Xenopus tropicalis: one gene and its partner. The protein of the gene in region 1 purifies or fractionates together with the protein of each later gene. This does not show direct contact. Links are inferred from orthologs where the notes say so. Each region holds a gene or a part of one and is shown in the gene's direction. Other genes may lie near its edges. The genes, in order: zc3h4 and wdr82.

The links.
Region 2: the proteins of zc3h4 (region 1) and wdr82 purify together in Homo sapiens (affinity purification with western blotting; 4 studies listed by BioGRID and IntAct, with this or other methods). This does not show direct contact. The link is inferred for Xenopus tropicalis from reciprocal best matches to the Homo sapiens genes ZC3H4 and WDR82.

The regions. Positions count from the first base shown.
Region 1 is NC_030684.2:77,123,250-77,139,498, forward strand, and holds the start of zc3h4 (zinc finger CCCH domain-containing protein 4), read left to right. Parts: upstream 1-9,248; intron 9,249-9,513; coding exon of another isoform or gene 9,514-9,563; coding exon 9,564-9,635; intron 9,636-10,112; coding exon 10,113-10,214; intron 10,215-13,899; coding exon 13,900-14,011; intron 14,012-14,476; coding exon 14,477-14,586; intron 14,587-15,402; coding exon 15,403-16,249. UniProt on the Homo sapiens protein: RNA-binding protein that suppresses transcription of long non-coding RNAs (lncRNAs). LncRNAs are defined as transcripts more than 200 nucleotides that are not translated into protein.
Region 2 is NC_030680.2:128,223,217-128,239,420, forward strand, and holds wdr82 (WD repeat-containing protein 82), read left to right. Parts: upstream 1-6,578; 5' UTR 6,579-6,786; intron 6,787-8,441; 5' UTR 8,442-8,471; coding exon 8,472-8,632; intron 8,633-9,611; coding exon 9,612-9,709; intron 9,710-9,873; exon of another isoform or gene 9,874-9,957; intron 9,958-10,187; coding exon 10,188-10,254; intron 10,255-11,292; coding exon 11,293-11,392; intron 11,393-11,495; coding exon 11,496-11,612; intron 11,613-12,699; coding exon 12,700-12,855; intron 12,856-13,001; coding exon 13,002-13,071; intron 13,072-13,154; coding exon 13,155-13,297; intron 13,298-13,475; coding exon 13,476-13,505; 3' UTR 13,506-15,465; downstream 15,466-16,204. Other genes in the region: glyctk (glycerate kinase), read right to left, coding at 596-755, 2,280-2,572. UniProt on the Homo sapiens protein: Regulatory component of the SET1/COMPASS complex implicated in the tethering of this complex to transcriptional start sites of active genes.

The DNA.
Region 1 (16,249 bases):
TCATTCATGGTTAGAGACTTATTACTGGCATTTTTAATACTTTTGCTTGATGATGGTGTAACAGCATATACTGAATCTATAAAGGATGCTAATTTTCTTTGGCCTTTTTTTTTATTACCCTTTGAAGTACTTGTCAAGATTTATTCAAACTTTTGATATATTTTGTTTTACTATTTCATATTTTCGTTTCTTTTACTTCCTGCAGTTGTTTATAACTGATTTAAAGGACATGTAAAGCTTACATTTGCCTACAATGTATATCAGTTGGACAGGTCTCCCCCACCCAAATGGCATCATGTGTACTGTATACATCCCCTCCACTTGCCAGCACCATCACATTTTTCTAAAGCAAATAGCAGGTTTTATCTGGTGGCCATTTTTCCTCTGATACATAATTGGATGCATTTAAATCTGCAAACAGCCTACACACACACAGACCCTTATTCAGCATGCATTTAATCAAGAATGCAGGCTCACTCAGGCAGAGCTGTCTCTGATAAAAGTTCTGCTTTGTTTGAGTTGATCTCAGAAGAGTTGGTTGGGAGAAAAAAAATGAAGCAGACAGCTAGAGTTGAGTTTCTATGTGAACCAGCAATGCCATCTCTCCACTGGCTGCAAGACTGGGGGGCGTGTTTGGTAATCTGAGTTTAGAACAACTGAGCATGCCCACAAGCCAACAGCCAAAGCAAATTCCTGAGGAAGGGGGCCGAGTGGGTTACAGGAGGAATAGCAAATCTAAGTGATTAAGGAAATGTTGCAGCCTTACTATTAACCTCTGTACAACCAGAGTGGCAGGTATTGAAAGATTTCAAAGAGGCTGTTCACTGATTAAATTTTTGTGTGTTTTTGTGATTTATTATGCACTGATACTCGTGAATTTTTTGCAGTTAGAGTGTGATTCTTTGTTTCAATCTATAATATGGTTTCTGTGGCTGTATTGTTTGTCCATGTTTGTATTTTGGAAATTTGTTCCTCCTAATATTCTCTTCATGGAGGGGTGTATTTTCAGTACGATTTTGCTTGAGAATTCTGCGGCTAATGGCACACAGTTCATTTTTTCTGTTCGTTTTAACTCCAGTTGAGAAAAGCCAATTTACTGCTTTCCATTCCTTGAATGTGTTTGCACTGGCAGGCCCATGGTGTCAGTCAGTGGACACACAGGGCGTATTTTGTTGCAAAATTGCATGCTTTGTCAGATCTGCGCCAGAATCTTCTCTGTGTGTGCACTGATGGGCCGTTTTGTTGCCAGCAGAGGGAAACAACCCTTGTGCCATTAACCTAATCCATTATTGCATTAAACCTTCTTTGCCTAGCCAGTGTATTAGAGATAGCTGTCATTCTGACTCCAACTCCTGCCTGGAGAGACAGAGCGACAGATAGATTACAGAGAGCAGGATGCTGAAGAGTATCTTGATTATTTTAGAAATGGTACAGAGTAGTTCCCCTATAAGTTGCACGGGAGACTCATGTAACGCTAAATAAGGGAGCAGATTAATTTCAGCCAAGTACTAAAAATTTAGAGAGACTATCAGCAGTTTTAGGATTTGGCTAAATTCCAAACTAACCAATACCAATAACCAATTTCAGTGTCTGAAGTTATTTAGGGGAAAATTCTTCAAATAGAAGTCAGTTTGCATTGGTAGAAAAGTTGGTTTATTTTATTAACGATCCCTCTGACACACATATCCCCAGGTGTACATCATCTGCAGTTTGAGGAATTCGGTAGAGAACAAGGTATTTCAATGTCTTGCAAGTCCCCCTTGAGTAAGCAGAATGTTATATTTATGTAATATTTAAACTCTTCATGCATGTATATTCTTAATGCTGAATGAACTCATTAAAAATCCTGTTAACTCTTTATCACCAGGTTTCTCTCCTTTCCCTGTGAGAACACCGAGTTAGCATTGCTTGTGTGTGGATATTTTTACCACACCATAGTATGTGTCTAATTTAGTGTATTTAATAAAAATATGTTAACAGTTGAACATCAGTGTGTATTTTATGCATTTTTATTAGATAAAGGTGCTTGCATGATACAGAGATGGTTGGGTTTAGCCAATATTGAATTATATTTGTATAAAACTGTGCGAGCACACCGCTAATTTGTTGGTGTCATAGCTTAGATGTAATATTGCAATGTGACCTGTACTTTGTAAGTTGAATAAGGGTAGGGGATGCCCTAATATAATTTAGAAATATATAATTTGAACAAACATTTTTAAATACCCATTATAGATTGCCTTTAATTGATCTGTTAGAATGGTAAATATTTTCATAATCATCTTACAGTTATGTTAGCTTGTTTTGTAATTCCCTACTTTTATTAGATGCTTGTCTTACACTTGGTGATAGGTGCAAGGTTTTCATAAGAACAAACATGCTAGCTGATGATACTGTGAGCTGTAGTTTACTCTATATATCTTTATATAAGTGTTTGGCTTTTCAATCCACTTTAAACTGTAACTTGCTTAATAATGGCAAATACATCTTGGGAATTGTAAACATGTGATTCCTGTACATGACACATTTTTCACCTAACTTATTATACATATATATTACAAAAACAACAATTGAATTTCAGGTTTTGACTTGCACTTTTTTAATAATTCTGCAATGGCCGATGTCAGACTTTTTATTTTGCCTCATGTAGCACTAGAAGTGTATATTTTTAGATAACTAATTTTCATTGATTTAAGTGCTTAGTAAATATTACCTGCAGTGATGATCCTGGCTACATGTACCATTGAAAGTGTGTTTCTTGTTATTCTTTTCAGTAATAAATTATTTTTTCCCCCACCGAGTGCACAAGAGGTTCATATGGTAGTGTGTTGGGGGTATCCTTAATGGAGAAGGATCTAGGGGTTTTTGTAGATAACAAGTTGTCTAATTCCAGACAATCTCATTCTGTGGCTACTAAAGCAAATAAAGTGCTGTCTTGTATAAAAAAGGGCATTGACTCAAGGGATGAGAACATAATTTTTATAGGTCCCTGGTAAGGCCTCACCTTAAGTATGCAGTGCAGTTTTGGGCTCCAGTCCTTAAGAAGGATATTAATGAGCTGGAGAGAGTGCAGAGACGTGCAACTAAACTGGATAAGGGGATGGAAGATTTAAACTATGAGGTTAGACTGTCGAGGTTGAGGTTGTTTTCTCTGGAAAAGAGGTGCTTGCGAGGGGACACGATTACTCTGTACAAGTACATTAGAGGGGATTATAGGCAGATGGGGGATGTTCTTTTTTCCCATAAAAACAATCAACGCACCAGAGGTCACCCCTTTAGATTAGAGGAACGGAGCTTCCATTTGAAGCAGCATAGGTGGTTTTTCACGGTGAGGGCAGTGATGTTGTGGAATGCCCTTCCTAGAGATGTGGTAATGCCTTTAAGAGGGGCCTGGATGAGTTCTTGAACAATCAGAATATCCAAGGCTATTGTGATACAGGTATAGGATCCCTTATCCGGAAACCCATTATCCAGAAAGCTCCGAATTACGGAAAGTCCGTCTCCCATAGACTCCATTTTAAGCAAATCATTTAGAATTTTAAAACGGATTTCCTTTTTCTCTTTAGTAATAAAACAGTACCTTGTAATTGATCCCAACTAAGATATAACTAATCCTTATTGGATGCAAAACAATCCTATTGGGTTTAATTAATGTTTTATTGTTTTTTTTAGTAGACTTAAGGTATAGAGATCCAAATTACGGAAAGACCCCTTATCCGGAATACCCTTGGTCCCGAGCATTCTGGATAATGGGTCCTATACCTGTACTAATATCTACAGTTAGTATTAATGGTTGTATTTATAGTTTATGTATGTGAGTGTATAGATTGGTAGGTGTGGGTTAGGTTTGCTGGGTTTACTTGGATGGGTTGAACTTGATGGACATTGTTTTTTTTTCAACCCTATGTAACTATGTAACTATATGCAATTTTAAAAATACTTGAAAAAAATAAGCTTTCATTTACACATTAAAAAAAACTGTGTGCAAAGAGGTGGACCAACATAAATACTAAACACGTTGGGTGTGGGTTTAATTGAATTGCCGCAAGTTGCTAAATTCTGTACATGTCTGGTTTTATAGCTGACGTATAGAAATCCTCATATATTGTAGCTTTATAAAAAGCTGTCTACATAGCTGGAAGGAAACAGTATTCTGCACACAGGCTATGTGTGCAAAACCTTTGGATTAGTTCCTGTAGTGCATGCATTGCTGATTATGCATTACATTCATCTATTGAGCTTTGCTATACATAGATATGTATGCAGGAATATGCATTGCAGGTAGCTGCTAATCTATTTTTATATGCTTCATTAAAGCAGTAATGTGGGTTTTAGAAGCATTATAATCAACAGCCACTCTACTGCATCTAAAGTGAGGAGTATTTTTTATGGCCAGCATTTATCATTGCTTACAGTTTTGGTTTCACAACAAGGTACATATTTTTAGTTCTGCTTGTTTTTTTCCTGCACACTTATCATTTCAGCTTATCTTAAGCATACTGGAAGGGATATGGGACATAGTACTTGCTTTCAAGTCTTCAACAAGTCAGTAAAGGTTGTAATGTCATTGCTCTCTGACTTCTCTGTATTTTTTTCAGCAGGGAGGATGGTGAACTGGAAGAAGGAGAGCTTGAGGATGATGGGGGAGAGGATGGAGCCCGTGATCTGTCAGAGGCCCAGGCTCCACAAGAGAAGAGTGAGAAGCATTACAGTGACTCTGATGAAGAGAAGGCACATCGCAAGATGAAGAGGAAGCGACGAAAGGAAAAAGAGAAAAGGCGATCTAAGAAGAAAAGGAAATCCAAGCACAAGGTATATATATATATATATATATATATATATATAATATATGAGAGAACAGAATGCCGCATACACAGGGAGTTCAGAAAAAGCAAAAAGTGTTTATTAAAAAAGATCTTTTTTAATAAACAGTTTTTGCTTTTTTTGAAGTCCCTGTTTGTGCGGCATTCTGTTTTCTTATTGATTATTTTAGCCAGCATCTAGGGTGGTTGTTTGTAGGGTGAATTGCACACTTTTCACATTCATTAAAGTACGACAGGTCCGATTACGAAAATTTTTTATTTTTTCTAAAGAACTTTTGCGTATTTCCAGCAATTTTTTTTTGTTAACTTGTCTGACTGTTGTGTACTTTGCAAAAATTTGTGTGACAAAATCGTATTTGTCGCAACGAGTACAAAAGTTTTGTAATTCTTTCAAGCTTCGGTATCATGGCTTTCCTTTGGCCAGGTTGGAGCTGCAGAGTTCCATTGAGTCCTATGGGAAGTCAGAAAGTTTTGACTTCATAACATTTGTAACATTTCCGCACATCAGAAATTATTAAGTATACAAATTTTCGCAAATTGTACTTTAACACAATAGAAATTCATACATTGATAAATGAGCCCCTAAGTGTATTTTTCATTCAGGCAATTGTGGCACATAAATACCACAGGCTTCACCTTTTGGCTTTACCTTTCCAGCCAGCAACCACTTTACACAGTCCTGTTTTTAGGATGTTTAATGCATACATTTGTGTGGACCTTGTTTTTAACCGTTTTTCAGGTTGTTTACTGGGTGCTAACATTCTGAGGTATCTGGCCATAAACACTTTAGGGCCATGGCACACAGGGAGATTTGACCCCCACAGTAAATATGCACTTCTCGGGTGATAAACCCCCAGAAAATGCCTATAAGTAAAAATGTAAATAGCCAGTGGGAACATAAAATTCACTTAGTTTTTCCAAAGTCGCTAGGAAACTTTGGGTGACTTTGTGATGTGTATGTTTTCTCACCAGTGATTTACATTAAATCACCAGTTGGAAAGCATTCAGGGGAGATTAGTCGCCCATGGTAGCGCAGATACATTGCAACTGACTAATATCATTTGCCATCACCCTTACCTGTTTTGCCTCCCTATTAAAAGATCATGGGATGTCTTGCTAGTTAATTGATGGCAGTTAGTTGATGGGCAGGGACTTTATAACAATTTTATCATTAAAAAAAATTTGTGAGGAATAGTAGGATATGCCAATACACAGCTCTGTCAAATAAGTAGTATTCTGTAAGAAAACATTAATTGTCCTCAAATGATTAGCTTTAAAGCATCCAGATTGATCAGATGTTGATCAGTTTCCACTTACATTATATCCTTATTGTTTTTGTTGATTTTCTTTAGCGTCATGCATCCTCCAGTGAAGACTTTTCTGACTATAGCAATGACTCAGACTTCAGCCCAAGTGAAAAGGGACACAGGAAGTACCGTGAATATAGCCCCTCTTACCCTCCGGTGAGTTTTAAGATCATAGTTGATGTCTTCTAGTATATCTGTTAACCCAACCCATATCAGTATTACAGTTAGCACACAGTACTTATATTTTTAACAGCTATATTGCAACAAAAAAATCTTTGACGCTTCATAAAATGTTTGACAGTATCTAAATATGCATAGTGGTTCCTGTTCTGTTGGTTTGCCCACAGCAACACAGGTCTGTCAGAATTTCATATTACCCTGTGAACTATTTGGCATGTGATCATGAGTCCTGTGAATAGGCAGCATGTGCACTGTAAAGAAGTGTTTCTAAAACTGTGAGATCTGTTCAGGCCCAAGTGGATTTCTTACTTGGCATATGTGGCATTAAATGAGGTGCTTCATCACTGAGTCCATATAACATGCCAAAGCAATGATTTCCATTTGTTTTTTAAACTAGTTTTCCTATGAAAGAATTTTATATTTTCAGAAGTGGTATTTCAGATGGGTAAGACAAAAGTGTTGACTAAAAATTAGAAGACCTGTGTAAAAGAGGTTAGAAATTGCTGCTCTAAAGGACTTGATAAATTATTTAACTTGAAACCCCATTCTCTCACCTGCTGTTCATCCAGTGCATTCTTTGTCCTATGTGGTGTTTTGTTTTCTTTCAGGCTCACCAGCAATACCCTCCGCCCCCACAGCACAATGCCCCACCTCCTAAGAAATACCCCAAAATGGATAGCAAAGGCTACGGCATGTACGATGATTATGAAAATGACCATTATGGCGAGTATGAGGGGGATGAAGGGGAAGACATGGGCAAGGAAGACTATGATGACTTTGCCAAGGAACTGAACCAGTACAGAAGGGCCAAAGAAGGAAGTCATCGTGGCAGAGGTGGGACAACAGATATGTAGATATATCATTTTATAAGTACTGAAAGGCAAACATGTTGGACACAGATTACAAACCCCAAAAAACCTGTCAATTCACCATTTTGTTTTGTGCACTGGTTCATTTATAAATGAAAATACAGTTTTAGTTATGAGTATTTAAGTGTGGTTACAATTATAAGAGTAATTTTCTATTTTAAAATGTTCTATTGTTAATGTTTTTTTCTCAGTATGAAAAAGCTAGAACATTTAGGATATTCAATACAATTATGTTTACATACAGACACTTCATCCATACTATACACATATTGTGGTCAGACCTTCCCCAAATTCATTTTATTTTTGGTTTCTTGAGGTTTATTGCAGTGGTGCATAATCTTTACAGCTTATCACAGTTAAGTATCTCTTCTATACTTGTTTATTCCATAGGCATTAGAGGTAGAGGAAGAATTATGAGAGGTCGAGGAGTACGTGGAATGATGCGAGGAAGAGGTTTCAGGGGTAGAGGTGGCAGAGGAAGAGGATTTCCAGGAGAGGATCATCCTGATGAAGAGGAGATGTATGATGAAGAAATGGAGGTAGTAATATTGTATGCTGCTATCTAGCTAAAGCATATATTTAATATAGCTTGTTTTCATATAGTACCAGCATATTCTGCAGGACTTTTAAAGTGATTATACATAATTCACATCAGTCACATCAGTCAGACCCTGCCCAAGTGGAGCTTAAAATTTAAAGTCCATATCACATTCACAAACTATGGTAAATTTTATCAAGACCCAGTTAATCTGTCTGAATGTTTCTGGATTGTTGGGGGAAACCCAAGCAAGCATGGGCAGAATGTACATAAACTTTTCATAGCTTGTGCCTTGGATGAAACCTAGGCCCCCACCAAACATTGGAAGACATCAATGCTAAACTAAAATAGGGAAAGAAAAAAGTATGACCTACAGTGTTGCACCTTCCGCTCTTTCACATTGATAGCATATTTAATTACCCTGTTAAAATGTAACTTAAAGGATAAAAATAAATTGTGCTAAGACAGATTAGTGAAGCTAAAATTTACATTAAAAATCACGATTTAGACAAGGACCAACTGAAAGCCAACCTAGTAAATCAACAGTTAACAAGCTACCTATATACTATGAATGTAGCTGCTCTAAGACTGTGAATTTCTTCTTAGGTGCCAAATTATTACCTCATTATATGCCAAAAATTGGCATGTGATGAATATTAGGTTCTTGCCAGGATTAGGTGATAGGCTAGGGTAGCTTGGTCTGTGGGCATATTTGGGCATCTGATTATATAACAGGGCATTCTTATCTCAATAATGGGCCTCTCCCTGGCGATGCAATACCATCAGCAAAGCACCTATGCTTGCCAGCCCATATTACAAGTCAAGTCTGCCTGGGGCCACTAGGTAGCATCAACACCCTTCCACCCCTGCTACTAGCACCCAATCACCCCCTCAGTTCAACGTTGTAAAGTCCTGCCTAAACAAAACTAAAAAGCGCCTGACATGCTTTTTGCCCTCAACAAATAAGGGCTTTGTCAAAGGCAACGTGTTTGCATAACGCACGTCTATTTATAACCAAAGATAATTCAAATCAGCCAATGGAGATGTCAAACTAAGAAAAGTGGGCAGGCACATCTACATTCAAATTCGATAAGGTCACTGGCACAGGTGATGTTATCGAATTTGGATGTAGATGTGCCTGCCCACTTTTCGTAATTTTCTTTACCCTGCACAACCTCCTTTGTGGTATCTTTGGATCAATGGAAGGTGCTCCTCATCTTCAATATTTTTTGATCAATGCTAAGCTAATGAATCTAAAAGTTATCAACTCAACCTGTTTACAGGGCTTCATTCTTTTTCTAGCTGTTAGGTTAACAGTATGAATTAAGTTAAACAATTATGGAATTTCTGTTAAATAAAAACTAAAGAAACATTTTGAAAATGTAGAGACCTGCATTTTTATTACTCTGATATAATTGTGGATTGTGTTGCTTACAGTACTGTGAAGAAGAAGCAATGGAAGATGAAGAGTATGACGATTATTCCAAGGAACTTAACCAGTATCGGAAGGCAAAAGAGGGCAGAGGTCGAGGTGAGCTCTTGATAAGTCTTGTCACACAGTGATTGTTGACCTCTGAGTGTTTTCAAAGCTGTATGTAAATAGTGCTGCTGTGCACTGCTTTGTTGAAGCTGCTGATCTTACAACCTGAAGTTTTGTATTTTTTTTTTTTTTGTAATAAAGGAGATATTTCTTTGGAACACATGGACCGTTAGTTTAAAGTTTAAACCGCAGTTTAATCCATTACAGGTATTTGAAAGTGATGATCTTTTTTTTTTTTTTTTAACCTCCTTTACAGGATTTTATAGAGGCCGCGGTCGGGGCCCACGTGGAAGGGGATACAAAATCATGGGAAGAGGAAGAGGACGAGGCAGAGGAGGGAAGGGAAATGATGAGGATGAATACTATGAGGAAGAGGGTGTAAGTTATGTATTCAAGACATAAATCATAAAATCACAGGTTTTTTTTTCTAAATACATTTATATCATGCCTGTGATTGCTGTTCTATCTGTGTACAATATCAAAACTGAATGGGTGTTAAAATGCAGTTTCTGTCCTGATTTACTTAGTACTGATACATGGCAATGGACATTAAAAGTGTCAATTCACTGAAATGAGATGTGATTAATGAAGGTTCTGATGAGTTGTGCAGTTTGTGTGCCTTAGACTGCAGAGATGGTGCTTGTGTGTTAATATTAGAATAAGAACATTTAGGTCTTGTGGCAATTTTGATTGAATGGTAATATAGTTAATGAATACAGTTCTGTAGGCTAGAAAATTCTTCAGTTTTCATATTGTTTCAGTGGTCATTCATTACTTTTAACATTTATTTTTTTTTAATCAGCTTATTTCAATTAAGCAAACTGTATATTTCTGATTCTTTTTTTCTCATTCTAGGATGGAGGAATGTATAGAAATGATTATGAGAAGCCACACCATCGGGCTGATAAAAAAGGGAAAGTTGTCTGCAAGTATTTTGTAGAAGGCCGCTGCACCTGGGTAATGATTTTACTTATAGGCCTAATAAACTTATATAGTAGCACAGTAGATTAGCTAACTAGCTTACAGCCTATCAGACTGTTGTTTTGACCTACTTTCTAGTCTTCTAGCAACTTCTATGGCTTTAAAAGGGTTTAGTCATGGAAATCTTGATACTTTTTTTTATATGAGTGATGAATATATTGCATTGCTGTACACATGTCTAACTGGTTTATAAGATGCAACCTTAAAAAAGGTTTTTATTGTTTTCTCTTAATGAGGCGGCAAGTCTTTTCTCTGGCATGTCTGTGGGACACAGGAACCATAGGGTATAGCATCCACCACTAGGCACCACTAGACCCCAGCAGTGTGCCTTAGGTCAGTGATCCCCAACCAGTGACTCGGGCAACATGTTGCTCCCCAATCCCTTGGATGTTGCTCCCATCAGGGACCACATCAAAGAGCCAATGTGGCCCCTGATCTTATGGAAAATCAAACTTGCCTAATCGAGATCTGGCCAATTTCACGCCAGATATCGATGGGGTAGGCCTGTTGGGGGGCCCATACACGGCAGATAAGCTGCCGAATCGGTCTTAAAGAACTGATAACGACAGCTGAATTTGTCCGTGTATGGCCACCTTTAGGCCCAAGGACCTCTTATGCTCCTCCTGCACTAATCAGTCCTCTGAAGCACCTTTCCTTGCTCAGGATCTCCCTGCTCCCACCACAGCTCAAGCCCCTGTGGGGGACACCTCTCCTGTGCCTGCCCAGCCTTCTACTTCCATCCAAGATCCCCCCCATGTGGGCTCTGCAGTTGTCCACTGACATCCCTAAATTGGCAGCATGCCTAGACAAATTGCTTGATAGACTTGGGCCTAAGGCAGTAGACCAGGAAGAGGCAGGTGAAGATCTAAACAAATCCTTCTCAGAAACATTAGATAACCTAATTTGCACAGTCCTACATTGCCTTGATCTCAAAAACCTGACATCAACACCTGATTCTTCAGTCTCTGTTTAAGAGACAAAAGGAATCCTCTCTATTCCTTTCCATGCTCAATTGGGTAACATCATTCATGCTAAGTGGGACCACCCAGAGAAGGCCTCCTTAGATCAATCTTCACCACTTCAGGTGAATCTCTCTATCCTATCTTGGCCTCTGCCTGGGTCAGCAGGGCCTTGGTCTTGGTCCACTTTCCTCACAGAAGGTATCAATTCCGGCACTCCCAGACAAGAACTTCTGACTACAGCTCTACAGATTAATTAATGAAGCCAATGATTACATCTGCAAGGCAGCTCTTGATGATGTACAAGTAACCAGTTTTACCTCTGCTCTTTGGTGGCAACCCGGTGCACTCATCTAAGAAGTCCCTTACAAAGGGTAGCTCCTCTAGAACCCGAGCTAGATAAAATTATCAGTCAGGCCACAGGGGGGAAAACACCTTGCTACCTCAAACTTGGGTCCTGTACATCCTTTCCCGCTTTTTTCGTCCCTCCATATCTTCCAAGACTTCGACCTCGAGCCTGATCTTGAACAATCAGGGAGGCACCAGTAGGTGTGCACATGGTCAGTGGTATACATACCACGGCTAGGCAACTGGCAAGCTGACTACCTCAGGCAGCAGCTGCTAGATTCAGGAGAATGGTCTGTAAACCAAGAGGTCTTTCAGAACATTGGTGGGTCAACCACAGGTGGACCTCATGGTATCCAGACAAAATAACAAGGCGTCCTGTTTAATAGCCGGTTGCAAAGAGCCCTTGGCCCTGGCAGCAGATGCCATGACAATATCATGGGATTTCACCCTTTCAAATGTGTTACACACCTTCCCCCAAACATCCTACATTCCAACCCAGGTGTGCTACATTTAACTGCATGGCTGTTGAGTCCCTAACTCTCCATAGAAAAGGGTATTCTGCCATGTTATCTTTACCATGCTCGTGGTTTGAAAACTGGTCTCACAAATGTATCAAAGGAGGATCTACAAAGACTGGTGCTTTGCCCTGAACCTACCTTGGGACTGCTACTCAGTCACAACCATCTTGCACTTTCTACTATCTGGCCTCACTAAAGGTCTTTACCTTGCCTCCCTCAAGTCACGAGTTTTGGCACTATCAGTCCTCTTCCAGAGGAAGCTCACTAAGCTTCAGGATATCCGCACATTTCTTTAAGGAGTAGCCCATATTGCATTCCCCTACAGAGCACCCCTGCCTCCCTGGGACCTTAAAGGAGAAGGTAAGGTATAATCACTGGGGAGGATGAAAAAATGTTAGCCCCCCCCCGGTGACCGCAATCACTTACCTGTTACCCCAGGTCGGTGATGCTGTTAGCAGAAGCCTGCACTGGCCCAGGTTACCTGCAAGTGATCCTCTTCCTTCTGTTTTTGAGTGAAAAGCCAAACTTTTACAAAAAAAGCTGGCTTTTTTTTACTATACTGCGCAGGACTTGGGATCATGAAGAAGAAGAGGATCCCTCGCACGCAGGTACCCAAATCTGGTGCAGTTTTCTGTTGGCATGGCCTGGGGTATAAGGTAAGTGATTACAATCACCAGTGATTATACCTTTCCTTCTCCTTTAACTTGGCACGCAGGAGGCTCCCTTTGAGCCTATGGCTACTGCTCCACTGTTCTGGCTTACTTGTAAGACTTTATTTTTGCTCATGATTACCTCTGCCAGAACAGTCTCTGAGCTCAGGCAGTGCTACATACCATACCTTCTTTCCTTCAGAAGGTCATGTAGGAAATTCAAATCAACCAGGAAATTATTATTACAACCTTTTGTCCTCCTCCCTCTTTGCGTTGGGGAGCACCTGACCAGGAGATTCAGTACCTCCTAGGCTTTCCGGAACCGTGTCTCTGCGGAACAGCTGTGCAGGCCACTACCTGGTCATCACTCCACTCTATTCCGAAACTCTACAAATTCAAGGTCTTTGCAGCAGATGACGCCCACTTCAAGAGAAAAGTGTTTTAGACGACAGTGGTTTAATTCTGGCCTCATTTTCTTCCTCCCTAATTTTTGGGGGACAGCATTGGTATGTCCCCATGGTTCCTGTTTACCACAGACCAACCAGAGAAAAGGGGATTTTGTGTTACTGCTAAATTCCTTTCTCTCTGCAGTCTGTGAAAAGTGGTCCTACTACCTTCCTGATGCTATTACTGTAAATAGTAGTTATGGGTTATTCATTCCTTTGTTGTTAGTCAAAACTGAGCATCTAAGGCAGTGATCCCCAACCAGTGGCTCGTGAGCAACATGTTGCTCACCAAGCCCTTGGGTATTGCTCTCGGTGCCCCCAAAGCAGATAGTTATTTTTGAATTCCTCACTTGGTGGTAAGTTTAGGTTGAATAAAAACAAGATTTACTACCAAATAAAGCCTCCTGAAAGCTGATAGTGTGCATAGAGACTACCTAATAGACAATCTTAGCCCTTATTTGCCACCTCCATTAAGTTTTATGATGCTTTTGTTGCTGTCCAAGTCTTTTTACATTTGATTGTGGCTCACTAGTAAAGATTGGAAACCCCTGATCTAAGGCTTACTGCTGGGGGATAGCATTAGAGGGCAGAGTTGTTTTTCCTTGCAATGTTCTGCCTCCTAGTGGTTGATGTTCTGCTCCAATGTTCCTGTGTCCCACAGACTTCAGAGAGAAAGGGATTTAACGATGAGTAACACAAAATCCCATTTTTTACATCCTTACCTTTCTTTTTATTTTCAGGGAGAGCACTGTAATTTCAGCCATGATGTGGAAGTTCCCCGTCGCCGTGGACTATGCAAATTTTATGTCAGTGGCTACTGTGCTAGAGCAGAAAACTGTCCATTCATGCACAATATCCTTTCTTAGAGAAAGAAGTAGTACATTAGCAGACTGCTAAACCACTAAGCTACTAGACAATAATATTATAAATATTATACACTTATTTTAAATGTAATGTCTCCATTCTTATGCTATAACCATGATCTACGCTTCCTCCACTGGTTTGTATTGTGAATCTGAGTGAAGAAAATACCTTCACTTTTAATTACTTTACTTGACTGTTTTTCCTTTTATTTATCACTATTAGAGGGGAAAAAAAAGCTTCTTTTTTTCCTTTACATTTGCTACCTCATATTTACAAATGTTTGTAGCCTACAAAGAAAAAATCTTGAGCTATAACTGCAGATTAATGTGTCGAGCAGAATGAAGTAATGCAGATCGGATATGAGATATAATTCTGTATAACTTTTTCTGAGTATGTATTTATGTTTCTGTGTTTTTAACCTGATTTTGGGTATTTTTCCTTAACTGTGCTCACATGATTTCCCTTGTAAGCTGTACCATACCACAGGCAATTGTATTAATGGTGAAGATTGCATGTTCTCCCATGAGCCCCTGACAGATGAAACACAAGAACTTCTAAATAAGGTACAACTTAACTGATAGGTGAATATTGACATTTATGCAGTTGCCTAATTTGCTAATCATAGGCTAATTGCACAGTTTCTTTTGAATACCAGGTAGTTACATTTTCTTAAATATTTACCCATATAAAGACATTCAGATAAGGTACTGCAGGTGTGTTTAGGGGTATTGCTTCTTGATTAAATAAATATCCATTGTTAGCTGAAGGCTATGTTTCATCTTTTGAAAAGCCTGGTGTGTATAAATGGGGAATGCACACTAGTACATAAAGTTCACTGTACTCTCTGATTCTTAGTTCCTGCACCTTAGGGGTCGGGTAGGCCCATTTTGATTTTTTTTTTCTATATTTAACTGGTAGGACTTTCCACAAGGTGGACAACCCATTTAAGATAGCAGTAGACAACCTTTTAATCCTATAACTGCTACTAAACATGTTATTTAAATAGTATTCTGGAATTTAAAACTTTTCTAGTTGTTTAGATTGGATAAACTGACTTATAACTGTTTTCAACTAATTAAGTAGTAGCAATAATCATTTTTTTATATTAAAGATCCATTGATCAATATCAATTAGTAACTGTGTAATGGTTAAGTAACCCCTTAGAAATGTATACAGTGTTGGAACATAGGGGTTACATCGCTATCTTTTTCATACATTTTAATGGCCATTAATGTGTTTTAGTTGTTCATGGCACAATTGCCTTCATTTCTGTTTCATTACTCTTTCTAAAAACTACACATATATCATATATCATATATATATATATATATATATATATATATATATATATTTATGCACTGTATATTCATTGGTTTCAGATATTGGCTGAAGATGCAGAAGCTGGAGCAGAAGATGAAAAGGATGTTGAAGAGCTAAAAAAGCAAGGTATCAACCCTTTACCAAAGCCACCACCAGGAGTAGGCCTTCTGCCTACACCATCCCACTCTCATGGAGCTCAAAGTTCAACAGGGCCAGCTGCTCCATCCTCTCCTACTGGTGGTAAATCAGCCCCTAGTGTGCCAGTATCTGGAGTTCCTATCGCTGGTGGACCAATACCTTGCGTTCCTGTCTCTGATGCTCCTATATCTGGGGGTCCTGTACCAAGTGCATCAATACCTGAAGCATCTTTGGTGGGAGCACCACCACCTAGTGGACCATTGCCTGGAGGCCCCATTTCAGGTGGTGCAGTGCAAGACGATCAAATTTCAGATATGCAGATGCCTGTAGGTCCTGTATCAGGTGGCCTAGTTTCTGGAGGACCTGTTGGATCATTTGTTGGGGGCCCAATGGCAGGAGGTCCTGTTTCATCAGGTTGCATACCAGAAGGATCTATGCCTGCTGGACAAATTACAGGAGGACCTTTATCAGAGGGACCAGTACCCCCGATGCATTGTGGTCTTGGAGATCCTATGGAAACAGGTGTCCCAATGCCACCCATGCAGCCAAACCCAGAAGGCCTGATGCTACCAATGGAGGTAGGGCTTGGAGGCCCAATGCCAGGAAGCCCAGGATCTATAGGTCTTGCATCAGGTGACCTAATGCCAGGTAGCCCTTTGTCCGGAGGACCTCCGCCAGGATCAATGCCACCTGGTCCGCAGCAGCCAATGGATCCACAGATGTGCCAGAGGAAAATACCATCTCTCTTTGAAATTGTAGTGCGGCCCA
Region 2 (16,204 bases), on another chromosome or scaffold:
CAGGGGCATCACAAATGACCTGTAAAGCTCACTACAATAAATGTCTCTTTGAAACAGAGTGATTCAGGCCATATACTGACCTGAGCCGGGTATGCTATGTTGGCAAGCCCTCCACCTTTTAGGTGTGACAGAGCCCTACGCAGAGTGTTTAATTCATGTATGGTCGCTCCCTTCATAGCCAGCTGTTTTGTTATCATTTGCTTATCCTGTAAGGAAAGAGGAGGAACTGGTGCAGGCAAAAGTGCTGAGCCTCCCCCTAAGAGGAAGAGAGACAAAAGAATATAAATAGGTCACAGCATTTAGAAACAGTTCAAGAAACATAAAATTAGATGCACATGCTTAACAGTATCGATGGCAACCAGTAAGTATTTTTATTCCATGAATTGATTGGTTGCTATGGCTTCTGCACGGTGCAATCTGGTACACATATTTTTTGTAAGAAATCCCACATCTACTGAACTGCTTCAGTTTTATTCTTTTCTTTTCCATATATGCCAAGTGATAGCTTTCTGACACCCTTTGCTTGCTAGCTGTCACATTATGATATCCTTTATACAATATAGTATAATATAGTTGTATTGTTTATAGTTGTCTTTCATCCACCTGAGATCAGCACAAGCAGTATATCTTGCTCTGTCAGTTTCTCTGCAAGGCTCTGTATTTCTCTAGCTGCCTCCAGTGCTGCTTTGTCTGGCATGTTGTGTTCTGCACCTTCCATCACCCGGATCCGTGAGTCTGGAGACAGGAGCATTTCCCTGCAATTATTACACTGACGATTAATGAAACAGAAATACAATCTCCAGACTATTTTTATTTCCTACATTTACAAAAGCCAAGGGCTGGCATACTGCTTGCTGAATTCAAGCTTACTTGCTTAAAATGGCATGTAAATTCATCAAATATTGTGAATCAGAATCTGTGCAAACCGTAATTCAGGTGTTATCACTGCTTCCTAAACCCCCACCACCATCACCTCCCATATTGTGACATACACACACAATTTTTTGGAGCATGGGGGGCTTTTGAATTCTCACAGGACACACTTATACATAAATATACATAGATATTATTTTTTTTTATCTGTTTTATTGGGCTAAAAGGTGTTTTCTTGCCTAGTCTGACTGCTTTAAGCATCTTTAATGGAGAAGGAAAGGCAAAGTCACTTGGCTTTAATCATTTACCTTGTACCCCTGGCTGGTGCCCCTGAAAAAGCCAACTTCTCAGTTAAAGTTCCGCTTTTCACTCAACTGCACATGCGTGCGCAGCGAACCAGGAAGGAGGAAGCGCTGGCAGCTACCCCGGGCCGGTGCTGTTCTCTCTGAACAGGGGCACCAGCCGTGGTAAAAGGTAGGCTACTGAAGTCACTTGGGGGTGCCTAACATTTTGGCACCCCCAAGTGACTTTGACTTTCCTTCTCCTTTAAGCAATGTTATTGATTCTTTGGAGATCTTATAGCATTTTCAGTTCAGGATTACTGATAACTGCTTGATTGTGACTAAAATATGCACAGCAAGACTAGTGAGACTGGGTTTCTGTCTGGGTTTTTTTCAAATTACTTTAATTGGTTTTACAGGTACTTGATTAGACTTTGGAACTAATCATTTTTGCACACATAATTTGGTGTGTAATATTTTCATTTTAGGGTCTCTACATGCAACTTTGTGTTATAATTATGTGCATATTGGGTATAAAGCTGGTTAGGAGACCCCTGGCATTCATATATCATGATGTTTTATCAAAGAAGTGGGAGCTAAAATGCTGTAAATTGCAATTTAATACATATTTCAAACATTTTATTAAAACTGCTTTATAGGCATATTTCTACATATATCATGTAGAGGACCACATCCGGCCCATGGGCCTCCAGTTGGACAGCCCTGCTCTACACACATAGAGGGAGTATACATCATATGTACACCCTACTTGTAAAAATTATAGATGCAAAAAGGTTTCTTGTGCACTTTTAAAACATTATCTTCGCAAAGAGGTGGGTTGGTCCAAATTAGTACTAAATGTGTTTGTGCGCAAAATTCTCTATGCGCAACACAATTTGTTCTGCAAACTAGCCAAGCTGAGCACATGACGACAATTTTAGAGGGAACAGAAGCACAGGAAAGAAATTAAAAGCAGGAATATAGTGACGATTTAAGTTTTCTGTAAATAGTTTTCCTACCAGCCCACCATTGTGGGGAGGAGCTTATCCACTGCAGCGCAGAGCAGGGAAGCAAGGAATAAAAAAGGATACAAAGACAGAAGTACTAGGCTGCTGTGAACAGTACCTCTTTCCAGCTTGTTTAAGAGTCTCTTCCATCCCTCTCGGTATACTAATTACCCCCCGAAGCAGATGCTTTCCAACTATTTTCTCCACTGCTGCTGCCATTCCAAGTACGGCTTTTCCAAATCCTACCAAGTAGAGGTTGTTGTGCAAAGGCAACTCTTTGCCCCCACACTGCAGAACAGAGGCATCACCATTATCCTTCACTGCTACATTTCGCCCTAACATGTTGGGTGGCAGAACAGCAGAAACTGCTTTCCAAAATATTTGTTTGGCATCTGTCTGCAAAGACATCATCCTCCTCGAGGAAATGCTTATCTTGGTGGACAGAGCAGCTTTGATGGGCAGAAACTGCAAAACGTTGGCCATCCGTACCAAATATACCTACAGAGAGAAAGATCACATAACATTAGTGTATTATAAAACCAGAAATGCTATTGCACATCCTAAATTCTACAACTATTTAATAATCCCATTAACCCCTGTAAATGCTCGCAAGCACAGTCAGGATCACACATGACTAGGCAACAGGTTATTTCCATATGCTACAATGTAATCAAGAAATGGAGGAACTATAGTGTTGGTATTGCTGGTGCTTCCGTTTTAATGCACTGGCACTTAAAAGGTTAAAGGGGGACTAACATCCAAAAATAAAGCTTGAACTTATGTCTCAAAACAACATGTAATGGAAATGATATATATTAGATGTTTATAGGCTGTCTGATGAGTAAACAAGTCAAGTTAACAACAGCATATAAACTGAGTTGTCACTGGAATCAAATCACTAGATAAATGCACAAACAGTGAATCATAGGAACAGGAAACATTTAGTAAATCAATATACCCTTTACTTGAATAGCTTTGTTCTAAAAGTGCAGAGGCTGCAGAAGGCACCTGGAATAGCTGCTTTGCAAAAATGAGGACGACTTAGGTAAAGGTTCTGTTGTGGAATATCCTTTTGTACTACACTCAGCACACAATAATAATCGTCTGCAGGGTCCCCAGTCTGAAGATCAGCAGAAACTGGTCTAAAGTTCAAAATACAGCTTGCCATACTAAAAGCCAAAACATGTCACCAGTAAATTATTAAGAGATTTTGCCTTGGGAGGCAGGTCCCTGCTTTATAATACCTTAACTGTACTGACAAATATTTACTTAATAAGAGCCCTTAATGAATAAGTAAACCTTTAACATAATGAATGCAAAATTTATAAGAGTGCTATTATAAGCACTTTGCAATTTGCATTACATTCATTCAATTTACATTCATTTTTTTTTTAATATTCAGAGATCCTAATGAAAATATGTACTGTAAATATAAATTAGCTTTGTTACAGCAGCACCAACTGTTGGTCAGTTTCTGACCATGATCCAGTCAAGGAAATTGTCAGGAGAGAGAAAGAGGGCTGGTCTGATGTTCTTCTGGTTAGGAAAAACATTAGAAACCTTAGATAACTTTCCTCTCATCTTTCCTAACCAGAAGAACATCAGACCAGCCCTCTTTCTCTCTCCTGACAATTTCCTTGACTGGAAACTGACCAGCAGGTGGCACTGTTGTAACAAAATGCTTTCATATTAAAAGTACATATTTCCCTTAATATTTTGGAATCTCAAAAAAATTATAAGTTTAAATAGCAAAACTGCTTAGAATAGCACTCTCATCAATTTTACATTCACGTATTTTAAAGGTTTACTTATCCTTTAATGCCTCGCCATCCATCATGTTCTTCCCCTGATATGTCATAAGTAAAACATTTTATATCTGTATGGGCACAGGTTTAGTCAGCCTAGGCTTCTCATTAAAGCTGCAATGCCTCAAGAAAATAAGCATGGAGAATGTGTGGGTCAGGAAGCTTACAGTTCTAATGAAGTAGCAGCAACCAGCTAAGCTGTCTTCTATGCTGGGGATTTTTAGAGTGATGGCCCACAGGGTAATTTGTTGCCCATGGTAAACCTGCGCTACCTGCTGGCAACAAAGAAGCTGAAAATGCTTTTTAATTCAGGAGACTGAGTATGGACTCATGTAAAGTAAAAAAGTAAAACAAATAACACTGCAAAGATAATATCACATAACTGTCAAAAGGTCCCGATATCGGTCCCTTATACCAATTTGGCAGATAATCGGGCCATGTATGAGCACTACCGACGGGCCTGCCCGACCGATATCTGGCCTGAAATTGGCCAGATATCGATCGGCAGGTTAAAAAATCTAGTCGGATCGGGGACCGCATCGACTCATTAATGCGGTCCCCGGAACGACATTGCCTATACCCGTCGTTATAATTAATATATAATTAGCCTGGATTCTCCCGATATCGCCCACACCTGAAGGTGTATGGGCACCTTTAGTGTTACTGGCACATTCTTGGCTATTTAAACAAACAGCAGGGTTATCCTGTATTTAGGTATGGCCGTCCCTTTTGGTTCCTGAATTAAAACTGTCCCATCTAAATTGAGAAGGTTAGGAGGTATGAAAATCAACCCCAATTTTATTGAAGCGGTACTAACTTGTTGCAGTCAATGAATGGGACCAGGTCCAGCCTTCAAGTACACAGAGACCCATTCAGCCCCTACACACCCAAAAACTAGTCTATCTATGGCTGGGGGTCCACAACCTTTTTTATCCATGAGCAACATTCAAATGTAAAAATAGTTAGGGAGCTACACATGAAAAAATGTTTCTGGAGGTTGCCTAATAAAAGGTGTAGTTGACAATTTGGTAGCCCCTATGTGGACTGGCAGCCTACAAGAGGCTCTGTTTGGCAGTACACCTGGTTTCTATCTAATCAAAACTTGCCTCCAAGCCAGGAATTCAAAAAATAAGTTTCTGCTTTGAGGCCACTGGGAGCAATATCCAAGGGGTTGGGGAGCAACATGTTGCCCCTGAGCCGCTGGTTGAGGATCATTGGTCTATAGTATGTTATAGCAACTCAATTGGCATTTGGCAGAATCTACAGATTGTGAGTCCAGGCCAGAATCAATATGTATCACTGACAACTAGGGATGCACCGAATCCACTATACTGGGATTCAGTCGAACCCCGAATGCTTTTGTGAAAGATTCTGCCAAATACTGAACCAAATCCTAATTTGCATATGCAACCTAAGGAACAGAATGCACAAGAAAGAACCATGTGCAGCAAAACATTTTCTACTTCAGCTTATATGTGGCGAAAAGTCCCATGATTTTAAGGATTCTGATTCCGCCCAGGACTGAATCCTGGATTTGGTGCATCCCTACTGACAACAAGCTTTATTTTTCACAAATTACCACACAACCCAGTTTCAGGAAAACCAAAAGTCCAGTGTCGGACTCCTCCAGACTACAGGTGCATGGTGCTCCCCCAGCCCAGCACGACTGACAGATCCAGCCTGCATAGTTAAACTGGTGAGACCTGGACTAGAACTGTATTTGATTTTCTACTGAAGCTGCTTATTCTTCCTGCTTGTTGGAACCCCTAGGCCTGAGGATTTATGGGTTGTTGGAAAGGATGCACCATATCCAGAATTAGGTTTAGGATTCGGCCAAATCCAAGTACCTGGCTGAACCAAATCCTTAAAACTGTGATTTTTTTTGTCAAATGAACATGGAACTTGAACATTTTTAACCACGCGCTGCACGTGCGGTTCTCTCGAATCCTTCCATAGCCTTATGCAAAGTAGGATCCAAATTAGTTTCAGTATTCAGCCGAAACTTTCATTAAAGATTCAGGGTTTGGCCAAATCCCAGAATTTTGGATTCAGCACATCCATTGCTATTGATACCTTGACAAGTGGACAACGTTTCTTTATTAATAATAATTGCAGTAAGTTACACCAATTACCAGTATTTAGTCAAGGCCACAAAGAACACTGTTAAGAACACTGAACACTAGTCAGCCTTTGCGCATGGCTGCATTGTGAGCGTTGTAGCCAACAGCAGCTGGCGCACATTACATTGCCTACCACTGCTTCCCCATGGACAAATAGAGAATGTTGACACTTCAAAAAAAATACTTGAAAGCATGTATTCTCACTCTTTTACTGACTGATTGGGCGAACCCGAGAATGCTTCAGGACATTACGAGTATTCCTCGCACACCAGCCTGGAACGAGTTCTCTTGCCACAATCAACATGGCGACACCGTAAAACCACTTCCGCCATGGCGCCGTTCTGTAGGCGTTATCCTGCAGGACGTCGTTACGCATGACGCCAGAGACGTTTCCGTATTGCGTCTACCCCCTGAATCAGCCAATAGCACATGACGCTTTTCCAGGAGCGGGCTGTCTCCTTCCCGGCTTCAGAAATAACATGGCGGAGACAATGAGAATGTAGGAACGCGCGCGATCCGTATGCCCAAATGTCGCACAACTACCAGGCGCCGATAAGCTGGTGATCGGGAAGGAACGTATAAAGTAGCTTCTCTTAACTTTCGGGAGGGTAAATACTGCCATTCGTAAGGCCCGGGTCCTCCTGAAAACGTGGCTCGACTCGCAAGGAACTGCTCGTTCTGTCTGGCCTATTTCTAAAAGGTTGTTCATATATCTGATACTAGAGCCAGCTTTATATGCCCGCCCATGCTTATTGTACATTGACTAGTATAGCAAGTGCTTTACGGCAGATTAGCAGCCACATTGCCCGGGATCGCAGTAGGAACTGACAAAGTCCACAAGAATGAATATTATTTCCAATCAGCTACTCAGTATGTGTGTTTTACTAGTTTTAGCATTTCAAAGGAGGTGGTCCATGCCTTTCAGCATTCAGGGGGGGCGTTTGCACTAAGCCCCCAGCACTATAGGGCTCTGTTAGGACATTAATTTTGATAAAACCTTTAATATATGTTTCATCTTTTAAGGAATTCTATATATTGAAAACATTTTACATCAGAGATGTCCAGTCTCTGCCTTTCAGCTGCTGTTTAACTGCAGTCATGGTAGATGAGGGTTGCAGTTCATGAATTGGAGAATCACTACTAGTTGGAACACCAGAATTTCTTCAGTGATCAGGGCTCCCATTCCATCTATAAAGGGCAGTATTCCCCCATTTCCAGTTTGTTGGAACGTAAGCAAGTAATCCCGCCCATACACAAACCTAAATGGTGGTAAAGTTAGAGGTGATCCTTGCTCCTTCTGCTTTGGGTGCTTAACATTTGGCTAAACCATTTTATTCTCGCCTACAGTCCAGTATCTAGACCTCTGCCTTTTAAGACAAACACCGTTATGCCGTCAAGTATAAACACATTTTCTGTTTTCCGCTGAGTATACACATGAACCTCTGACATCACATGAAAGCTTGTTGAATTCCGCTGCACATTTAATGTAACTTTAATTATATTGCTGTATGTAGGCAGGCCTGGACTGTTAATCTGTGGATTTTTGCAAATGCCAGAGGGGCTGCTGTAAGTTACTATAGGCAGTCACCATTCAGTGAGCTGGTTGGGGACTGTTTGGGCCTATTTTGAGTCCCAGACTAGACCAGTATTTAGAAGTTCAGACTAATCTGTGGGAATCCATGCACTGCTTAATTAAACATTTGCATAAACAGAATTTTCTTGAGTAAAGGGGTCTGTGATAGCAGTTAAATGCTGTGAGAAATTGACCTATTAGGGTTAGGTGCTAGGAGCTTGAAGCTCTTTATGGGGTCATAATGATTATATGTATTGTGGTCTTTTGGGTATATAGAATGTGTTTTCCCACATTATTGACCTAGACTGCTTATTCTTCCTGCACAAGCCCATATTAAATGCCATGCAGAGGCTGTACAGACAGTGACTAGGGCAATATTCTAATATCATTAAAACTCTATGGGGAAATCTAGATGTGGCATTGTCTATTAGACCAGGAATCGGTAACTCATCTGCCTTAGAGATGCTGAACTGCAACTTCCAGTGTCCAGTCAAATGCTGTTGGGGTACTAGTGGTCTTTTGATAGACTCAGATTGCTTTTTAATGATGTACAAAGGCCAGTTTTTAACCATAAGACTAATCCAGAGGTCTGATGTAACTGGGAAATGAGCACTTACTTACTAACCCCCCTCATGTTCTTATGCACTACTGCAGAATATAGGATTTTGTCCCGATTTGAACAGTTTATATATAAGTGCCCACTTAATTATGTCCTAACAGCCATCTGGTTTTTTTTTTCTAGTTTCAAATTTCTTAACCATTCATCATTTCCCTTTTTGCAGGGGCCTGCTGTCCCAGCACATTGGGTCATCATGAAGCTCACCGATAATGTGCTCCGAAGTTTCCGTGTGGCAAAGGTCTTCCGGGAAAACTCTGATAAAATAAATTGCTTTGACTTTAGTCCAACTGGTGAAACAGTCATATCCAGCAGCGACGATGATTCAATTGTGCTTTATGATTGCCAGGAGGGGAAGTAAGTACATATGTGATATTTAAAATACCTTTTTATGTTGGGAACTAATGTCAGCAAACATATTTACCTGACTGAAGAGCTCACCCCTAAATGCTGTGTTTTCACTTTTGACTAATAAATCACAGGAGAACACCCCCCTTGAAAATATTTCCATGTGCTGGTCCTGTTTTGTATAGACACTGTTAAGGGTATCGTTCTCTTCCAGTACTGTAGCACAGGTAGACGAGACAGGGTATGCCTGCAGACATGGAAATTAGGGTACATGTTCACACTGGTTGGACAGCTCTGCCCTAACAAAACATAGGCTGAAAATGTCAGTAGTAAAGCACAGTAAAGCTGTATTGATTCACATTTACAGCAGCCCTATGCATAGTATGTTACACCCCAGTGATCCCCTCTGTACGTGCTCTTTTTTGTTCCACCCCTGTGAATAAGAATGCTATGATTGGCACATACACACATTGCGTAGTAAGCATAGAGTCAGTGTGTCAGTGATCCCCAACCAGTGGCTCGGGGCAACATGTTGCTCCCCAACCCCTGGGATGTTGCTCTCAGTGCCCCCAAACCAGGTAGTTATTTTGGAATTCCTGGCTTGGGGCAAGTTTTGGTTGAATAAAAACAAGATTTGCTACCAAATAAAGCCTCCTGTAAGCTGATAGTGTGCATAGAGTCTACCTAATAGCCAATCTTAGCCCTTATTTGGCATCTCCATGAACTTTTATGATGCTTGTGTTGTCTCTAAGTTTTTATACATTTGGCTGTGGCTCACGAGTAAGAAAGTTTGGGGACCCCTGCTGTATGTGAAAACTTGTACTGCAGAACTGTGCATCTTTACTTAATAATATTCAACCCATGTTTTGCTAGGGATTTAGTTGACCTTACGAATACAATTGACTCATTGTTCACTTATTCTTGCTGTTTTTTTTTTTTCATTCTTCTAAGTATATACCTTGTTATATTTTTATTTTTTTTTTTTTAGGCCCAAGAGGACGTTGTACAGTAAAAAATATGGTGTTGACCTTATCAGATATACACATGCAGCTAATACAGTGGTCTACAGCTCCAACAAAATTGATGGTATGTGATCTAGTAATTTGGGGAATAACAATTGAGGTACTTCATGTTCGTGTACCGTAACATTTTACTTGGTGATTTTTTTTTTAACAAAATAAGTGTATTTTAGGTGCTGTTATACATTTATATGGAGATGCCAATAAGTTCGGACAGACTGCCTGGATTTGGGCTGAGGTAGTTGTTTGTACAGTTTAAGGGTCTGTGACACCACCCTCTGTTGGAGATAACTGTACAGGCCACTGCCTTGCCTAGGACAGAGCATACTCGACAAGGAATCCTTTCACCCAGAGAACTGACCAGCTAAGAATGTGATTTGGTTTTTTTGTACATTTATGGAATAAATAAAGTAGTTTTATGCTATTTCTAGTTTGCCTTTTTGATGTGGGATGTGCATATGTTTGGTGCCTGTAAATCATATAGCGTGAAGTATAGTTTACATAGTATTGATTACATCTTTAGTGCATACATTTTTTTCCTACAGACACAATACGATACCTCTCTCTTCATGATAATAAATACATCCGTTATTTCCCTGGACACAGCAAGAGGTGAGCATGCTTTACAAAATTCAGTACATTTCATATTGGAGCTAAAGGCGAATGAGTCAGGAAAAACTGCAATGACCGTTCAGGAAGATGTTTTCCCATAGTCAGTAGCAATCTCTGTAGTTAGAATGTAAGTTTAATTATTGCTTGAAATCATGAACATGTTCAAGTGATAATAGTGCACTTGTACCATACCCTGATCCGTTGGTTGCTATGGGAAACTACACAAATCGGGTTTTCAGATTTTGTAGTCATGACTTTTTCCAGAAAAGGTTTATGCAGTCAGAATGCATAGTGTCTCATAATCCTTAGAATTCCTTTTTCAGTGTCCAGGGACATTTTGTTTTGTCAGTAATACTTACAAATTGGCTGTAAGATATTTTAATTTTCAGTAGTTTGTAAGGAATAAGAGACCTCGGCACAAGATTAAAGTGTTGCAACTCCCTTGTATTTAACACCCACTTCGTTATTGACAACTTTTTACTCAGATAGCACTCTGCTTTATTGCCTGCAGCAGTCATTTTTATTTACGTAAAGGGGTAGTTCTCCTTTAAATTAAGACAGTGGTATTCTAAGACAATTTGCAATTGATCTTTATTTTGTGTTTTAAATATTTAGTATTTTGTTCAGTAGATAGGTCAGAATTTCAGCAGCTCTGAACACCACGGTGCAATTTACCCTAGCAACCAGCCAATGGTTTTAATGACAGACTGGAAGATGAATATGAGAGAGCCTGAAATATAAGAGAAAAAAAAACTATAATATTAGTTATAATAGCTTCATAATAGCAGGCATCGGCAATAGATCCATATCTTTTGGTCAAGGAGTGTCCAGGCTGCCCATGGTACAGAGGGTTTGAAGTGTTTGATTCAGTGTGTCTCTAAATTTTTCAAAAAGCAAACCTATCAGTAAATCTTTGGGTGACATTACCTTTACTTTGATAGGTAGTTATAGCTTTTGGGACACTGGTGTCAGTTTCTCAGTTAAACTTACCCTAGTCACTCTAGTATTATCTTATTATGTTCTGGTTGTGCTTTACAGAGTAGTTGCTTTGTCTATGTCTCCTGTGGATGATACGTTCATTTCTGGGTCATTGGATAAAACCATCCGGTTATGGGATCTTCGATCGCCTAACTGTCAGGTGAGTAATTGTCTGATCACTATTTTAGTATTTAGTTATTTGCGTAATAACCTAAATGTTGTAAGTTAACTTTGGCTTGCTTTGTCTCCTTGTTTCCATGCAGGGGCTAATGCATCTTCAAGGAAAACCTGTATGTTCATTTGATCCCGAGGGTCTCATTTTTGCAGCTGGAGTAAATTCAGAGATGGTCAAGTTGTATGATCTTCGCTCTTTTGATAAAGTGAGTTTTGTAACCCAAAATTGAGTTTTAAGTTCTTCCCGTGTCCACATGGCTGCTCCTAGTTTCTCTCACTATCCCAAAAAAATTAGGGATGCACAGAATCCACTATTGCACTATTGTAGGATCATTTGCAAAAGATTTGTCCAATACTAATCCGAATTAAATCCTAATTTACATATGCAAATTGGGACCAGAAAGGATAAAATAGATAAAAATCAAAGTCATGTGATTTTAAGCATTTGGTTTGTCCAGAGGCATGGTTTCAGCCAAATCCCAATCCTGATGAAAAATACAGAATCCTGGACCAAATCCTGGATTTGGTGCATCCCTAAAAAAATAAATACAGGCAGGTTAATTGGTTCCTAAAAAACATTGACTTTACTGTGTGTAAATGCAATTGGGTTGTACACTCCATTTGGGCAGGGACTTAGGTGAATATTCCATAATCTCTGTAAAGCAATGTGGAAATGGCAGGTTCTATATAAATAATACATTATAAATGTCTGCAACGTTACGTTATGCTTATAGATGTATTATAAATGCCTCATTGAGCAAGGAATGCTTGTACCAGAGGTGAATGTCTCTGTTTAACATGTGGCTTAAGACTAAAATTTAGGTCATATCTGCAGTTTATCAGGGTTGCTCAGTGGCACTGATTTTTTTAATCCTTTGCTAGTATGTTATAGTGTAAAGCTGCACCTAACAGCTTCTTACGTAAGCTTGTGATCATCCATCTTGAGCCATCCGAATCTCCCCTTCCTTCCAAACTCTCCCATTTATTTAGGGAAGCAAATTCAATGTATCTTGATTAAGTGCTGCGTAATTTGCTAGTGCTATAAATAAATAAATAGATGATGATGATGGTGTCAGACTGAATTGAAAGGAGAACTAAACGCTAAAAATGAATTTTATATACTGGACTTAATCCACCAGCCTAAAGGTTCAGCATTTCTGTAAAAGTAATGATCCAGGCCTTCAAAGTTGTCACATTTTCTGACTGTCACTTTGGGCTTAAATTAAACAAAATGCACAGTGTCCCTTTTCATAATAGTGATTGACCAACCTGGTACAATATTGCTTATCACAGGGTCCATTTGCAACCTTCAAGATGCAGTATGATCGAACCTGTGAGTGGACTGCTCTGAAATTTAGCAATGATGGGAAACTTATCTTAATGTCAACCAATGGAGGCTTCCTTCGTCTGGTTGATGCTTTTAAGGGGGCTGTTATGCACACGTTTGGGGTGAGTAATTTTTTTTTTCATTAAAATGGCCTGAACAGGTAGAGCCCTTATGACTTCTTGTCATTAAACTTACTGCTGTGGAATATATTTGCACTTTATGATGAATACGTTACTAAATAACAAACTTATAATGAATTTTTTATTAGGGCTACAACAATAGTAAGGCTGTCACCCTGGAAGCTACCTTCACTCCAGATTCCCAGTTTATTATGATCGGTAAGTTAGAAGAAAACATTTATTAATATCCCAACTATTGTGCAATATCCACTCCTCTCACTGGTTCATCTCAATCTCTGTAGGCTCAGAAGATGGCAAAATTCATGTTTGGAATTGTGAGAGTGGTATGAAAGTAGCAGTGCTGGATGGCAAACACACAGGTCCTATCACATGCCTACAGTTCAACCCCAAGTTCATGACGTTTACTAGTGCTTGCTCAAACATGGTAAGCACAATCATATTCTTTGGTTGTTATAACTGGCACTTTATACAGCTATTGTTGCATTATCAAGTTATTAATGTCTTCTTGTAGGCTATGAAGTCCCAAAGTATACAGTTTGTGGCTAGCTTTAGAATCTATGAAAATCCTGTGGATAATTGATTCTAACAATCTTACATTGCAGGCTTTTTGGCTACCAACTATTGATGACTGATGCATACAGAGAAGCTGGCATTTGTAAAAATCCCATTCTTCAGCTATTTTCCACAAATAAATCTTCACAATGCCCGGATATATGAAGAACAAGAAAATGGTTATTTTTTTTATTCTTCCATAAAAATACCCCAGTATTGAGCCAACATTTCTCTTTGCCAAAATAAGAACTGTTCTTCGGTACATATCAAGATTTATGAACTTCTGTTTTTTACCTTCATGTACTGGGCACTTATTTTGTGGAATGGTGTATATATTTTTGTCATGTTTCTCCTGACGAACCTGTATTTGAGACACATGCTACCAATCTCTCTTTTTATATCCTTTATATACGCTTCCATCTGTATTTGTTCTTTGGAGCAGGATTTAAATGTTCACTATGGTAAGAATCCACACCAACCTTGTTACACCAGATATTACACCAGAGGTAGATTTCATGGTGGATGACGCACTAAATAACCGGCTAAACCAGATTCTATTTAGATACCCTCTCTGTCCAGAGTTAAAGGCTGGCAAGAAGCTACATCTGTTATTGTTTTGGTTAATTTTAAGAGAAATTTTATTAATGCAGTGCTCCTTCCTTATAGGCTCTCTCTCCACACCTGTAGTTACTGCCACAAGTATTACACAGATGTGCATCAAATCTACACAGACATATTCCTATAACACAATCCCATGTTACCAGAAACAGCAATTTTGACTCCTTCATGCAGTTGATTTAAACTGGAATTGCTTTATATCATTTATTATTGATTTCTGTGTTTCCTTTGATTGTTGAGAGATGCTGGATGTGTTTAATAGCCAACGGGCCGCAGGTTAAGCATTGTCCATCTGTTTTCTATTTCAAGTCAGTACTGGTAGCTTTGTGGGGAATTTGCTTATTAGTGCTGCCCCAATTTGTTTAGATCAGGATTATGATTCTTTCATTAATTGGTTAATCTATTTGGTAATATAATTCATAAGTAGCAGAACAGTATATATTGCTCTCATATTCTGTAAGCAGCATTATTAAACGGGCATTATTAAACTGGCACTAGTATTAAGAACTGCCTGGGTTGGCATCCACACTACCAGCACTGCATTGGCCTGGCTGGCATAGGACAAGTAGCTTCTTTCTTGCCCACAGACAATCGTAGCTAGCTGAAAGTGAAATACGTAGGTTAAAGGGCAATCCATATATACCACTGAATTCAGCTTTTAAGAAAACATTATGTGGTTAATAACCTTGTTAATAGAGGACCCAGGAAAAGTCTGGGATCTGTTTTGTGACCACAAATTGGTTGGAAATCAAATATACACTTCATTTTAATTACTTTCTGTTGTTCATTATCTTAAAATGAGTCACATAAACATACCAAAAGCAGCATTGGGTTCTTAACCATAGATTAACAGTTCCTGTTGGGGGAATGGTGATATTGTTTGCCTCGGTAAAATCACTCTACATAGACTAAAAAATAGCACAATCTAGGAGTCCTAGTTAATGTTGGTTTGCTATCAGTATAATAGCGTTATGTTTTATTTATATAATAAAAAGAAGCCCCAAACTGTCATCTTAAATTAAAATTAATGCAATACCCTATTTGGAAACTAGGTGTGTTTGGCCCTTTAAGATCTTGTGTCAAGTAAGCAGTAGGTGAAAAGATTTTACACTTCAAGGAAATGTGTATTTTACAGCTCCAGAATATGATAGTTTATTTTTAACCACACAGAACCTTTTTAAAAAAAAAAAATAAACAAAAATATTGTATGGTTTCCTCATGTCAAGGAAGCCTCATAAGCAGTATTCAGTATTTCAAAATAAAGATATTCCACAGCATAAAGGATTTATCTCACTGTCTCATATACATTTGAGGATTGTGCATGTAAATAAGAAATGGATTAAACCATTACTGGGGAGCTAAGCAGTGTGCAGCTGTTTCTTGTAAATTATGTTTTTTTACATAAATAAAATATTAAAACAACTATGTACTGTTTTATTTGAGTAATGTGTTTAATATCTTTAATGCCCAATACACAGATGGTAAAAGTGCACTTGACACCAGCATGTCAGAGCACGTTACAATTTGGTATTGTGTCTTAAATAATCAGATTACTCTTTCCCCTTTTAGCAAACCTGTCTCTCTACATGCAGCATTGTCGGTTATTTTGAAAGATAGCTCTTATACATTATCTAGGCAATGGGGGTTATGACCAACGATGTGTTTGACTTAGCTGTCCTTCAAAATCTGTCCTTCAAAATCTCGTGCATGTAGAAAGGCATTGCTAGGAAGGGGATAGTGAAGAGTTATTCAATTATTTCATAAAACTGTGTAAAAGTTTTGATTATATTCAGAATGTTTTATTTCTATGAGATAAAGTTTATATTACAGTTTCACTATAGTTCCCCTGTTATACATTGTGATGGCCTATTAATAACCAACATATTAACTTGATATATAGAGAATGTCCTGCCCTTAAAATAATTCACACCAGCAACATCTGGGTCATAATAGGCCCCTAGTACACAGCATTTTGTTGTCCACTGCAAACAGGCCAAATGGGACAAACTGTCCACCACTTAAGTGCCAGGTGGCATTGGTGAACTTAATGCCCAATGTGCTAGAGGCCTTAGTGCAACACTGGTATATACTATACTGATTCCCTTACTATACCAATAGAGGATGTCCTGTCATTGCAACACTTACTACAGGTTTACACATG